2 linked regions of the Alligator mississippiensis genome follow. The protein of the gene in region 1 purifies or fractionates together with the protein of each later gene. This does not show direct contact. Links are inferred from orthologs where the notes say so. Each region holds a gene or a part of one and is shown on either strand. Other genes may lie near its edges.

Region 1 (7,697 bases):
TAGCAGCCTCCAAGGTATTATGTTTTTGTTAGTTTGCTTTTTTACCTCTTTGGACTTCAAAATTTAGCTAAATAAGCATATTATGTTACATGTCTACCTTTATTAATTCCCCCTTTCAATTTACTAGAACATGTGGACTTGTCAAAACAAACAAATCACCACTAATTTAGCTAAACCTTCTCTGAAACTTTTATTTCTAATAGAACCTGAATCTTCTCTCCTGTTCTGTTATATAAGGCTTATCAGTACAATGGTGGTATGCTACAACAGCACCTCCACAGAAAGAACAATTTCATTTATTAAGTAGAAAAAAAGGCCTTTAAAAAGATCTGACAATTTATTTTATGAGTTAAGGTAGCGTTAATCAGTGACACTTTCCTTGAAAGTCCTTTTCATTCTGGGAAAATCCAATCTGGTTGGGTTTAGCTTTAACTCTCGTTTAACATGATAGTCCAAGTAGCCTGACCTACTTTATAAAACTTGTGTCCATTTAGAAGGCTGACATCATTTTGTATTTTCTTCTCCCACACTTCATTGATTTTCTCCACAAAAAGAAAAAACATCTGCCAGAAGTTCCATGATGAACACAGGGAGGAAAAAACCCACTAAATACTTAATATATTCTTAAAAAAAACATGAAAAACCATTCTAATAGCAGAAAAATATGTTGAGTCTCCACTGAAAGCACCTTTACAGTACTTAATTTTAAAAACTGCAAGACTTGAGATGTTCAAATTAAAGGTGAACTAGTGCAGTAGATTAAGGCTTTCTGATGAGTCATGAGGCAACAAGAAGCTTTGGTGAATGAAGAAAGTGTGTTGGGTTTTTGTTTTATTTTTGTAGTTAGCAGCTCCCAGAATGGTCCTTCTAGTGCCAAAAATCTACTGAATTAATACTTAAACCATATTAGGGGACAGAATCATAATACTGCCTTTGTGGTTAGTGCAGCTAGGCAGTTAATCAAGCTCCCAAATGTTATCAAAAGGTGCCAGGTACAGAACTGTATTAAGGTACCAGGGCAGAATTAATCTACTACCTACACTGCATAACTGAACTATATTGTGTCATGAGGCCCTGTGACAAATATAACCTGGTTACATGTGTAGCTAGTCAAAGATAACCAGGTGCTTGCTTGAAGCAAGCAAACTGATTTTCTCCAAAGAAAAGTATTATCTATTTACCCTTCCACTGCTATGACTACACATCTACAAGTTGAATTCAAGCAACATCACTGAAAGGCATTTTTAGCAGGGTTTAGACAGCTTGTATGGATAAAACTTGTAACGACCTGATCCATGCTAAGGCATTTAAGATCCATGCAAGTCCAAAGCAGATTTACAAACACTTCAAAAAATACTGAATCCTAGCATGTACATCAGTCTCCATCTTCTCATCTACACCACTCCTGTACATAACCTGAACTTCAGCAGTCAAAGGCATATTTGCTTAGGAAAGCCCAGGCATGAAATGCTGAATGCATTTCATGGCTAAAGAGGGGGTGGGGGGAGGGGAAACAAGGTTCCTCCATTTTGGTATGTGAATTTCAATAAAAGAACTCAAAATTAGTCTAGTATTTAATATAACCAAACACTTAATCCTACTTCTTCTGTGATCCCAGCAACATCATACACTGATTAAAGGTTGCTGACATGCCAACCCTATTTTCAAAGGTGTACGCTGCACAAGATTTCTGTCATGTAATCACATCAGACTAACAGTTATTCAGCCTGTATTTTTGCTTAAATGGAACTGTAATTATTTGTATATGTATATCCCAACTCTTGCAAGAGAAAAAAAATTCAGCTGTATTCAAAAGTTGGAATTTTAACTATTTAATGCCAATTGCTCCCCTGTATTGGAAAAGGAGCAAGGATCAGAACACATTAAGGACAATTTTAAGGCAGGAAGGAAAAAGCAGCATTATAAACCTCATTTCAACACGTAACTTATTAGACATAATTTTCTTTTTGTCCAATGAAAATGTAACAGCCAGCCAGGATGAATTAGTAGATATTACTAAAGCCTGAACCTGCAGAGGGAAGCTGCCAAAGTAGTGCTGGTCCTAGCAGTCCTAATAATTACACAAAGGGATGTTAATGCAGAGACGACTTAAAGAGCACCAGAGAGGCAGCAAAAGATAAGCTGTAACTGGACCAACTCCTGGACCCTCTCCGATGAAGTCGTACAGCGAGCACCACCGACCCCGGGCCGTGGGGACCAGAGCAGCATCTGCCCCTGCACTTCCACAGGCTGAGCTGCTGCCGTCCTGGGGTTGTTCTTACCACCGCACCTGCCTGGAGCTCGGTGCCCAGCGCAGCCCTGCCCAGAGCTCTCGGCTCCAGCGAGACAAAACCTCACGGGGCCCACGGCTCCCTTTCCCCCGCCCGGGTGGGAGCCCTTGCCTGCAGGCCCCGGCGGCTCCCGATGCAGCGGGGCAGGCGCCGCCCGAGGCATCCGAGCAGCGGCCACAGGCCTGCAACCGCGGGGGGCGGGGGAGCTGCGGGGGGACGGTCAGGTGACCCGCGCCCGAGCCCAGGCGCGACGGCGGGCGGGAAGGGAGGGGGCGCGCCCCGGCCCCGAAGCAGATCTGCGCCCGCCCGCCCGGCCCGGTCACCCCCGCACGGGAGGGCGCGGCCACGGCATGGCCTGTCCCTGCGGAGGCCGCGTGGCCGGGCCGGGCCAGACCCGCCGCACGTTACACAATGGGGCCGGCCGGCTGGCCGGCCTCCCCGCGACCCCGGTCCGCCCCCCCGCGCCGCGGAACCTTCCAGAACCGCCCCCGGCGCCGGGGGGGAGGGGGCCGGTACCGGGGGAAGGGGGGGGCGCTCGGGCGGGGCCGCGGCCTCTGTCCCGCGCTCGGCCTCGCCTCGCCCCGCCGGCAGCGGGACGGCTCCGCCGCGCGGGCGCGCTCCGGGGCTGCCCTGGGTTCTCCTGGCCTGGCCTGGCCCGGCCCCGCCGCCCCGGCCCGGCCCCGGCGCTCACCCGTCGACGCCATTTTCTCTCCTTCCTCCTCGTTCTCTCAACGTCCGTCCGGGCTCTGCCGCCCGCACTGCGCATGCGCAGCCTTTCCCACCTCGGGTGCTACCACTCCGGGACGGGGGAAAGAAGCAGGAGCCTGCCTCCGCTGCGCCGGGCCCGGCTCGTCCCGCCCTGCCTGTGACGAGCCGTATGGCCCAGCCCAGCCCAGTCAGGCACCCGAAAGAGGGAACGGGAGTTGTCCTCGTGATTTACGTCTGCTGGCTCTCCCCCCAGAGGGTGTGGAATGGTTCAGTCCATCCACTTTAGGGATCGTGGCACAATAGGCGCCCCAGCCGGGAAACGTAGAGCAGGCCTCAGAGGCGGGGCTAGGGCGCTTTTGGCCTTGCAGTCGTTTCAGGCCAAGGGGAGGTTGAGTGACCTTGCTGGAATGCGTCCCCGGGGAGCGCGCGGGGGGTAAGGAGCGAGCCCTGCTCTCGGATTTGCTACCTGCCCAAATACCAGCGGTGCAGACGACGTCAACTGCTTTAAAACCTCATCAGACAGAGCCCGACATCATTGCACAGACTTGCAGCATTGCATGATGTCATGGCATGGAGCTGCTGGGCACTGGCACAAGGGCACCAACTGCAGCGTTGGGATCTGGCGTTGCATTCTCGTGGGCAATAGCAGCAGGCGCAATCCTGGCACGGTGGCATGAGGTTATCACGTGCAAGTCGTTCGCTGACATGCTGGTGAAATGCAATCACCCAGGCTCACCCGGATGTCCTCGTGTGTCAGATGTCAGCATGGTACCATCACGGAGTCACTGTTTGCTGGCATGCTGTTAGGACCAAGAATCACAGTGCCAAGGTGTCTTAATGCAGCGGGTTAATGAAGACCTTTGCCATGTATTGTGGTGCTGCATTGCCAAAATACTGATGTTACACAGACTTTAAAAGCAATCCAGGGATCTGTGACTCAGGGCAGAACAATTTTACATTGTCCAGGACAGGTGACTGTGACAACTTTACAGGTTACCTAGAGTGCAACACACTTAATCTTTGAGGCCAAGCCTATACTCTCTTCACTATTCCAGATTTGTGCCATATAAAAACCTTCCCGCGAGGTAGTTGCATAATTAGACTAAAAGTAAACCATTTTGCTGACTTTCCATCCTTTCTAGCAAAGGTGTCAACAGTATAAACTTAAATATGTACAGTATAGGGGCACCCAAACTTCTGTCTTCCACACTTCAAAATCCACATCATTCCCAGCTCTTACTGTGCATCTCACGTTAGCATTTCTGTTCAATATTTATAAGCTGGATACTTTAAAAGCTGCAAGTAGTAGAAAGTAGATTATCTAGTGGCAGATGTCAAGATCAGCATGTCCCCCATGCCTAGATATTTGATTACCCTAATCACTGCCACTCTATATCTTCAAGGGATTTTCTTCACAACCTGAAAGGAGAGAAACCAGTTCTTATTAAACTAAAACTTAAATTCTGTAGATAATTCATTATCCTCAGAAAAGAGCTTGCTGACTCACCCATGTGTTGGGCAGGAGATGAATTCCCACTCAGAACTGTGGACTGATTTGTTTAAAAAAGCTGACATGCCAACAGAACCAAAGACTGCTACCAGTGTATCTCTGCCTTCCCTTTGTGTTATCATATATGTATGTGCAATCCAGGTACAAAGTGCCAGCATAAATGAGAACAGCAAAGGAGCAAGGCCATGGAGAAGCAGGCCTCAGGGCCCAGTTTCAGCCCTGATGCAAGTTCTTATTGATCTAGGTTTGGAATCAAAAGTTCAGGTAACCACAGTAACTTAAGCCAAAGCACTCCAAATTTACACTGACTTGAACCTAACAGGTGCAGCTTAATGTGAACTATTTAGTTTCCAATTCAAATTTGGAGAGCCTAAGCCTACCTCAAGGAGCCTCTGCTACCAAGTAGGGATTTGCTTCTCTGGAGCTTGTCTTTACAACAGTAAGAAATTGCTATCTCAAGCATTCTTCCTCTAGCAGAGTTTTGTTATGTAATTTAGGTTGCAGCAAGTTAATGGATGAAACAGTAACAATAATGATACTTAGTAATTTCTTAGTATTTCTAATACTTAATGTTTGTGTGAAATGTCATTGATCTGTCCTCAGAACAGCCAGGCGTGGTCAAGTGAATTATTTTTTTCAAATGGGGAAACTGAGGCACAGAATGGGAAAGCAACTTTGATGAGAAACAAGAAGATCTTGTCTCTGAAGTCTGAATACATCTACTACATTGCACTGACTCCTGTTGTCAGGAGGTTTGGGGAATTCTCGTATGTGATTCTTGAATTATCACTGTTACAGTTACAAGGCAATTTATACCCAATGATAATAGGACTAGTGCTGACCTCTAACTGCCTCCAAGGCATTTAAGATGCATGAATAAAGTTTTAGAATTGTTAATATAATTCCCTGCTTGGCAAAAAAAAAAAAAAATCCTGAAGGGAAATAGCTTGCCATCAGTTACTGCCAAATTTGGGAAATGTCTTTTAATGAAAGAAGATTCCAAGCAGGCCCCTTTGGGACAACAGAACAAGGTATTTGGAAGGTCTCATTAACGCTCACTCCCACATGATTGTTCATTCCCCTTCTAGCTCAGAGAGAGGTGAATCAAATTTTCCTGCCTAGGATGAAGGAAACTGATCCTAAAACTCATACACAGGTAAGCTGGAAAAATGTTTGTTGGACAATCTTAATTATTCATTCATTCTCCTCCAAAAGTCTCATGTCATCTGCATCCAACCACCAGTTGCCACAATAGTAAAAAATGTCAAAGATCCACCCAAGTCTAGAAGCATGTTAGCTTCTGTAGCCGGTGGCACACACAGTAGTGAAGTGGTTAGCAACATGTCTGGTTGCCTTTGATTCTCCAGCCTGAATGACCAGGTGCCTGCTTGAACTCATGCCTCTGGAGATGTATCAAGACTCCTTAACCACTTAGCTACCATGTCCCAGCTATTACAGCAATAGTGGTCAGCTAAATTATTTAGTTATTACTTAGATCATCCATGAGGTGAAAATGTACCCTGCCTTCTGCATGACTTCAGACTAACATGGCTAACTACCTCTTTCAATTCTATTATTATGCACCTATAAAAGAATGGTGTGGCCCATCTGTAGAACACTGCACAAGCTCTGGTCACCTGTGCAAGAGCCTGGCTAGTGGTAAAGGAAGAAGAACACAAGGAACTCAGGGATGTCAAACAACAGTGGGCATGTCTACACATGTATCAATGCGCTGTAATTACTGCACATTAAGTTTAATACCTGAACAGGCACTAAATACACAGTAATAAGCACTACTACGCAGTAGCACCAATGCATGTCAATTAAGTGAAGCTAATGTTCAGAAGACTAATTCTACTCTGCATTAGCAGTTTTCACTGTAATGCACAATAGAATCAGTCTACTGCACTTTTAGTATTTCATGTAGACGTGCCCAGTGTGGAAAACACAGCAGGAAGAAAAAAAGAATTGTAGGTCACTGACCCTGAGTAACTACCATTGCCTGGGTATTGCAGCACCATCCCACAATGCACTGCAAAAGTGCCCTGCACTGCATTTCATTGGAAGGTGGTACCACTGGGATACCTACCCTTGGTGCAGTTTGGCAATAGCCAGCACAACCCAAAGGCTGAAGACACGGCACCAACCTGGGCACTCAAGTGCGTGTGCTCTCCAATGACATAATAGTATTGGCTGTTGTAAGCCAACATGCTATGGTGGCCCATCTTTAGTGCAGACCTGGCCTAAGTCCATCTACCTGCCAGTATAAGATTGTTCCCTAGTGGTCACAACATCGGACTGGAAGTTCTTGTCTCTGCTCTGGTTTGAAGCATCTACTCTTTAGACTGACAAGGTTCTTTGGGTAAATGTGATATCTTATTAGAGCAACTAAATAGTTGGAAAAAATGTTCTTTGCAAGCTTTGGATACAAACACCCTTCTTCAGGCAGAGGGAGAGTCAGGTGTTTGTACCTGAAAGATGCAAAGAATAATTTTACCAACTATTTAGTTGGTCTAATAAAAGATATCATATTTACCCAAAGAACCTTGTCTGCCTATGTCCTGAGACCATCATGGCTACAACCAACACCCATGAAATGTAGAAGATACTCCTTAGACTGGCATAACGTGCTCAGTTACTTCAGATGGATACCATGGGAGCTGATCCAAAAATCACTGCCGTAGCTTTCTGCTTCATATCCACTCCGCTCCCACCCCCTTGCCCCCTCCCAACATGCACACAGTCTAGTTAAGCAAGGAGCCTCTCATGACTTTGTTTGCACTTGTATTCATCAGGAATTCTTCCCCCAGTTTCATACAGCTGTGTGTGTGACAGCAATAACATGCGTCAGAAATTGAACTGGGGTCATACCTGAATATGGGCTTAATTCCTGCTTTCCCTGAACTGCCCTCTTATACTCTATAGGATCTCAGCTTCCACCAAGGAAGTCTCTGTCCCTTGTGTCTATAAAAAAACTTCAAAGTGATGCCTGGTCCCTAAAACAGTGATTCTTCCTCGAGTCTGTCAAGGACCTGAAAGGGTGGAGTAGTGCAAATGGCTCCAGTCACCTCAGTGAAGATTTATCTTAGAGGTCCAATGATTGTAGTTTAAATTTAATTGCAGCTCACTACTTCGCTGCTAGAACTGAGCAGGGAAAGAGCAGTCCTACAGATCCAAGGATAGGAGAG
Region 2 (7,778 bases), on another chromosome or scaffold:
ACCCACAGCATCCTTATAGGCTCGGCAGTGCTATGTTGGTTAGCACTATGGAAGAAAGAGACTTGGGGGTCATCACTGACCACAAGATGAACATGAGCCTGCAATGCGATGCTGCGGCTAGTAAAGCGACCAAAACGCTGGCTTGCATCCATAGATGCTTCTCAAGCAAACCCCAGAACGTCATTCTCCCCCTGTACTCGGCCTTAGTGAGGCCGCAGCTGGAGTACTGCGTCCAGTTTTGGGCTCCACAATTCAAAAAGGATGTGGAGAAGCTTGAGAGAGTCCAGAGAAGAGCCACGCGCATGATCAGAGGTCAGGGAAGCAGACCCTACGATGACAGGCTGAGAGCCCTGGGGCTCTTTAGCCTGGAAAAGCGCAGGCTCAGGGGTGATCTGATGGCCACCTACAAGTTTATCAGGGGTGACCACCAGTATCTAGGGGAACGTTTGTTCACCAGAGCGCCCCAAGGGATGACGAGGATGAATGGTCACAAACTACTACAAGATCATTTCAGGCTGGACATAAGGAAGAATTTCTTTACTGTCCGAGCCCCCAAGGTCTGGAACAGCCTGCCACCGGAGGTTGTTCAAGCGCCTTCATTGAACACCTTCAAGATGAAACTGGATGCTTATCTTGCTGGGATCCTATGACCCCAGCTGACGTCCTGCCCTTTGGGCGGGGGGCTAGACTCGATGATCTTCCAAGGTCCCTTCCAGCCCTAATGCCTATGAAACCTATGAATCATCTGGCCTGCACAGCTGCTGCTGTGGCTTCAGGAGCCATAGTTATCAAGACTACTGCCACCAAATTCAACTCCTCAGGCCAGATGATGCAGCTCCATGCTCCTGATGCTACCCATGGACTGGCTCCATGACACTCACCTGGCCCACAGGACCAGACGTGTTGGACATTTGCCTGGAGTACTTCTACTGATTAGCATAGATTTATTCCACATTTTTACTAGTTCAATAGTAACACTACTGACTGATATTAAATATTCAGCTATCATGTCAACCACTGTAGTGAAGCCACCTCTAAGACAAAATTAAATAACAGATTATTTAGTGCCAAAGCAGCACAGCATCACTTCCAAACCTAAAAAGTCACCTAGTTTGTTCAAGATGGGAAGTAAGGAAGACTTGCATAGCCAGCTGACCATACAAGGGGAATTGACAGCAAGCAAAATGTACCATCCAGCTGAAATCTGGCCACCCTGCTGGGGGAAATGCCTGTTATCTTTCAAACCTCTTGTGCCATCTTGATGACAGCAAACCATTAAAAATGGCTTTGCATCTTAAAAGATGAAGTTCATAAAGATACATCACTGAAATACTTTTTGTTATTACAACACATGGCAAAATAAGTGGATTACTCTGAATGAAATCAGGGTTAATATACACTGTGTGTGAATGGAACCCTAAAAAGAGGGCAGGGGCAAGTAGTTCTCCCTTTCTGATTCTGCACTTTTCACAGTCTTTTAAACTGCTTGCATTCAAAATAAGAGAGGTGCAGAACATTTTAGTTAAATAAAAATAACCTTTTCTTTGATTACTCCACTCATCTAACATTTATTGAAGTAAAGCGTTTCAATATCAGTCTAATACCCAAAAAGTACAGAAGAGTCTAGATTAGTGAGTCCTATGCCTACAATGGCTTAAAAATAAATCTCGTAAGTAGAATTCTTAAAAATAAATACCTATTTAGAATCAAGAAAAAAAATTAACCCCAAATAAGAGGTTACAAATGGAAATACATCAAAATGGGGTGTATTAAGGATACAGACTCTGGCCCTTTAAGTACAATTCTGCACACTACTATTCACTCAACTCCAAAAAAGAGCAAGGCCTCCACTATCAACAACTTGCAGATGTGTTTACCCCAATGTCCTTGCCTTGAACCAGCTGGAAAGCTCAGAGTGGAAAAACACTGAGGCCTGCTTCTCTGTCAAGTAACTAAAAGGATCTTTTCATTTCTGAAGATGTGTGTGGAGAATGTAAACATAAAATGAGAGTGCAGCTCTGTGCTCCCCCTACTCTTCTGAGGGAGATAACATTAATAAGCACTTCAATGTACACAAGAAAAAAAAATCCCCTGAATCTCACCAAGGCAGGAGGAGAAAGTAAACGCAAGTGTAGCAAGCAGGCCATTCATTTCCTTCTTACCAATCTACACCCCCCTCCCCGCCCCCCCCAGTCTTCAGTTTTCAAGGAAGGAAAAATAAAGGTGTTTCCTCATTTCTCAGAAGCCAAGTTCTTATATGCCATTTAAACTTATTTTATGTGCAGTTTTAACTTTCTGTGGAGATTTACAGTAGAACCACTGTCCTGCTTCAATTCCCTTCCCTTCCCCAGGTAATTCGGGTTTGTTCGCACATTTCCTATCAAGTATTTTGGAGGTACCAGATTGTTGTGAATAATCACGAGACCAACTCTCCTCACACTGAGCTGGGTCCCAGGAGAAGCGAGACCTGGGGAGCTGCACGAGAAGGGGATCAAAATGTTTTGTGGCCTTTGCAGAGAAGATCCTGGTTGCCGAAAGAGATGCAGGCTGGAGACTGAACCGGGAGCTACTCCCCACGTCTAGGAGAGTCCCTACAACCTACCACAGTCGCAGACAGGGTCACCCAGCAGGGCTTGGTCGGGCCGCCCCACATGACCCTCTCGGAGCACTTCCCCAGAGGCGGGGGCTCCCTGGGGCACCCAGGCGTTGCCATGCGGAGCGAGGCCAGGGCCGAAGGCTGCAGCCCCCCCCCCCAAGGCGAGGGGACCCGGGGGGAGGACACCAGGCCGGGGGGGGGGGGGGGGACTCCCCGCTAGCGGGCCCCGATGGGGGAGGGGAAGAAACTCACCCTCCGCGGTCACGGTCGCGGCCGCGGTCCCCAAAGCTGCGCATGGAGTCCATGGTGCCGGGGGGAGCGGGGCTGAGCGCGCGAGGGGAGGGCGGCGCGGCGGGCGGCGACGGCTGCTGTATCCCGGCGGCGGGGCGGCAGCCGCCTGGCTTCCCGAGGGGGGAAGAGCGGCTTCGCAGCAAGAGAATGACCCTGCCGGGACCGGCTGGCGAGGGCCGCGGAAGGCTCGGGGCACGGCGGGGCCCGCTGGGCGCGGACACCGAGCGTCTTCCTTCTCCGGACTCCCGGCACAAAATGGCCGCCGCCACTCCAGCCCGCTCAGCTTACGTTAAGGGCGGCCCGAACATTACGTAGGCTACGTGTCCGAGGAGCAGCGCCTATTCTCGAATTCCGAGTACGCAGGCGGCCCCTTGCGAATAAGCGGGCCAGAACAACAGGCCCCTTAAGAAAGTGACGTAGGGTTCTCCGGCGGAGTGAGAGCCTCGCGTAGGAAGGTAACGTTCTCCCTATTCCTAAAAGTCGGCTACGCAAAGTGCCAATCGCACAACCTAGCTATGAAGCAGGGAGACGGCTCTGGCCGAGCGGCACGTTACGTAAGGACGAGGCGTACGAAGATTGTGTAGCGGCCGCTGGCTCTGAGTTGGAGGTGCTGCGGGAAGGAAGTGCCGTCCATTTTGCGTAAAATTTTTCAGCGGGTCTCGCTCAGCCGGCAACGGAGCGGGGCAGGAGGGAAAGGGCAGTAAAACCACGTACAGGGTGCAGCGTATCGTGGTTGAAGAATAAGGCCCTTTGCCTTAGCGGGCTGCAGCTTCAGGAGGCCGCATTGCACTGCGGAGACAATAACCCGTGTCTGCTGCGGCTGGAGCTGCGGCGCTTGGTGGGGGTCTCCCTGTGCGGCTTTCTTCTGCAGCCGGAAGACCGTCCCCTGCCCAGTGTCACAGCCCGCCCCGAGCTCGGCGTGTCTGCCCAGCAGGCAGGGCCTTGCGCGAGCCTGCACTTCTGGCCTGCAGGCCTCCCAGGAGCGATCGTGGTGCAGTGCGGGGGGCAGCCATGACGCTCGCTCTTCCCCTGCTTCCAGGAAATGGAAAGCAGACAGAGATTCTGCCGGACTAAATGAATGTGCCTCTGTGCAGGCCCGGCAGTTCTCCGAATCGTTCGCGACAACCTGGGCAAAAGCTACGTGAAGTGATAATGTGCAGGGCACTGTTAGACTGCCCAGATGTTTCTCCGTGCCATGCTCTGCAATATGCTAGGACCGAGTCTCCAGGGTTGAGTGGAGGAGCCCCCTCCTATTGCGGCACCAGTAGCATATACACTGTTCAAGGGCCGTTTTAAAATTAGCTCTCCCCCCCCATCCCATAATTCCAAGTGGCCCCATAATTAGATTATACTAATTGTTAGGGTTTTCTGGTTTCCAAACTGAATTTATTTGCCCTCTATACCTATTTGCTCTTGTACCAAGGCTGCCCTTTAGTTTAAAGTGTTTCCCTACCTGCCCCCTTATCATGTATTTATACAGATTAAACAAATCCTTTCAGCCTCCATTTTGCTAAAATAAACGATCCAAGTTATTTTAGTCTCTGCTAGAACTGGCTCTACTTAAAAGTGTTCTGTTGCATCTAACTGGTTTATGTTTTAAAAGAGATTAGTCAGATAATGTTTTGAAGTGTTAAACCTAGTAATAGTGATTGGTTAAATGCTGCTTTCAGTCATAGATGTGTAATTCCACTGAAATCAATAGGATTTCATAGGTTTGTAACTGAAATTAATGTTGCTTACAGTATTGGATTTCTCTGATTCTTGTAGCTTCACAAAGCCCAATGCTCTCTTGGCCGTAGCAAGTAGAAGTTGTGAAGCCCGGCAGGTGTGTGAGAGTTGGGGGAACTGGAAGGAGTAATATCAGCTCTGCAGTTTCATATCAACCACAGAAAAAAACACTTTTTTAAGGCATGGTGGAGCGCTAGGAGACATCTGCTCTTTGCAGCCTTGTTGCCCCACAACATATCCAGAGTGAGTTTCTTGTCCTTTGCAGAAGTCTTTGCCCGCTCACAGAAGGGAGGATCTGGCCTACACAAATACTACGCCCTTACTTTTGTAAAAGCTGACAAAAGATGTTGCAAACAAATACAATAGAACTTCAGTTATCCCAAATGATTAGTGTCACTATAATTCTGGATAATCAGTTTTCCTAGATGGGGGTGTCAAACTCAACAGGCAGCGTGGGCTGGATGAGTGGCATGGGGCTGGTCCACCTGCAGGATTGGACCCGTGAACTCCCCTCACCCCCATACTAGACCAGTACCCACGGTGTCTGTTCTAGGATCTGCGCTGCACACGGTGGCCCCTCCCCCGGGCATTGGTCTGGAATCTGTACCACACGTGGTATCTGGTCCAGTTGGTCCACAATCCATGCTGTACGCGGTGCCCACACCACTGGTCTAGGACTGCACTGTGTGTGGTGCATATCCTGGACTGGCTGGGGAAGACACAAGGCAGTGGGAGAGGAAGGGAACCTGTGTGGCACAGTACTGGATGAGCTGGGGCTGGCACCAGGTATAGCGCAGATCCTGAAGCCAGCATGGTATGTGGTGCGCATCCCAGGCCTTATGTGCAGGGCCGGTCTGGCATGCACTATATGGGTTAATTTGGACACAGGAGCAGCACTGGAAGCTGGATGATGGAGTTCTGCAGGCCAGATGCAGCCAGGTAGCCTTATCTTTTGGCCCCTGTCCTAGATAATCAAACACCACAATATGAAGTGCACTTTAATTACTGTTCTGTGTAGTAAGCTAAAAAAAAAAATCAAGGAATGAACGTATGGTATTATGTAATGCTTAAAGATCTCAGAACATTAGTTAGTAAACAATACACAGTTGTCTCACCGACAAGCAAGCCAACTGTGGACTGGTGGTTTTGTTAATACAACACTTTCTAGTTAACTGACTTCCCAAATAGTTGATGCTCCACTGAAATCATTTTATTCAATAGTCAGGTATTCCTCAAGACTAAAAATGGGCCTACCTCCTATTTGACAACTAATTGAACTATGATTAAATCTGAGAGCGATTTTGAAGATTATTCCCTGACCCATCCATAAAACAGTGGGAAATACACTTTTCTCGTGTATTAAAGCTTATTTTATTGCTTGTTTATGTGCTACATAGGTGAGTGGCCTGCCTGGTATTTAAATTCATGCTAGACCAGGTTACATTTATTAAATTCTTGATTGATCATCAGTATTTGTATATGATGTCAAGATCTTATATTTTGTCCACTTTGTGATCAAACTGTGTAGCTAAGGGGTTCTCAAATGTTTTCTGGTTGAGTCCACATTTTAATAGAGAAGTTATCTAAACTATCTGCAATGTTATACTCAAAGGGATGCCTCTTTGGCATTAAGCTGGGGCTTCTTTTATCCTGTGTTTTAGGATGTGTGTTGTCATCTACTGGTCACATGATGCTGGCAGCCTTCCCTGAACTGCATTTAAAGAATTCAAACCATACATTATATATATTTCTAATGTTCCTTTCCTAAAAAGAAGTAATTGTTCGTGTTGCCACATAGGTATTATGTAACTGTGAATGGGAAGAGAAATGGTTTATAAAATAATCTCTCTCTTTTCACTCTGAAAAAGTCAGGAAACGACTGACTGAGCAAGTCATGAAAAGGGTATGCCTTATTTTTTCTCTAGATCTGACTTAACTTTTTAAAAAGTTTTGTTTCTTGCCTCAAAATAATTGATGACTATGACCTATCACAAGGTAAATACTATAGTGAAGAGGACGCACTGTAGTCTCACTGCGAAGCAAATACATTGAAGTCAACATCAAGAAAGAGTAGTCAACCACAATGAGTTCCTTGCAGTAAGACTAAAGTGATTTGTCATCTCTGTGCTTTTGCCTTATGATAGCACTTGTACTTCAATTACTCTGTTAAAAATGCACCTTTTTAGCGGTGAACAGAAACCCTCAAGCCAGGCGCTAAAGTTGGCTTCCCATTCGGCTCTTTTTTTGGCTGCAAAGAGGGTTTGCTATTAGGTGCTAAAAATCCCTCAAAGTGTTAAACATGGACTGTTTCTTTAATTTACACATTTTGTTTTCTGCTTATTTATTTGAAATATTGGGCTACATCCTGTTTAGTTTGCCCACTGAAGTTCTCACAACAAAGTTAATAGGCCAGTTCAGGTGATCAGGTTTTGACTTAAAGTATATGTATTGCACACAAGCATAGGGAAGAGATGTTCTAATTTGGTATTTTCCATTAACATGAAAATACATAACATTGTTAAATATTCTAAAACAGAATTAAATACAAATAAATCACTAATTAATCAAGATTAAAATTTCTAAAAATTGTCTTCAAGTAACTATCATTCTTCTATTCTCAATGAGATCTAGCAAGTTCCTGTATTCCTGTTGCTGTCTACTACATTTCCCCTCTATGTATTAACCACTCATTTTTTTAAACCATGTTTGTTTCAATGCTGTTTTATTCCATGCTGTGTACACCCTATCTCACAGACATTCTCTTTCCAAGAAACTATGAAAGGTCCCATTAAGCCCATAAGATAAAACAGCTTTACTTCTCACAAACCCTAAAGAAGACATTTCTTGAACGAGTCACAAGTTTCTTTGCTTTGTAAATTTCTGAGTGCTGCAAATTTCATTTAAAAAAAAGAAATAACATGAACCAGTTCCTGTTTAGATCATTGAAATATGATCTTCTAATAACTTTCTAGTGTGCTCCCAATTCTAAATATCCAAAACTGAGCCTGAAAAATACAAAGTAATCAGGGAGTCAGTAACCTTGGATACTTTGGCTTTATCTGGGCGGTTTTCAGATGGAGATTTTTGCCAGGTTTCTGCTTATTCTTTGGCATCCCCAATTCCTCCAGTAGTTATGGCAAACGTGGCTTCATTTTCAGGCATC

Evidence for each region. Proteins that work in one complex are often made in the same cells at the same time.
Region 2: the proteins of EWSR1 (region 1) and DDX17 purify together in Homo sapiens (affinity purification with mass spectrometry; 3 studies listed by BioGRID, with this or other methods). This does not show direct contact. The link is inferred for Alligator mississippiensis from reciprocal best matches to the Homo sapiens genes EWSR1 and DDX17.

Annotation. Positions count from the first base shown.
Region 1 is NC_081833.1:26,356,266-26,363,962, reverse strand, and holds the start of EWSR1 (RNA-binding protein EWS), read right to left. Parts: upstream 3,085-7,697; 5' UTR 2,996-3,084; coding exon 2,983-2,995; intron 1-2,982. UniProt on the Homo sapiens protein: Binds to ssRNA containing the consensus sequence 5'-AGGUAA-3'. Might normally function as a transcriptional repressor. EWS-fusion-proteins (EFPS) may play a role in the tumorigenic process.
Region 2 is NC_081827.1:99,531,938-99,539,715, reverse strand, and holds the start of DDX17 (probable ATP-dependent RNA helicase DDX17), read right to left. Parts: upstream 3,104-7,778; 5' UTR 2,902-3,103; coding exon 2,849-2,901; intron 1-2,848. Other genes in the region: DMC1 (meiotic recombination protein DMC1/LIM15 homolog), read right to left, coding at 7,715-7,778. UniProt on the Homo sapiens protein: As an RNA helicase, unwinds RNA and alters RNA structures through ATP binding and hydrolysis.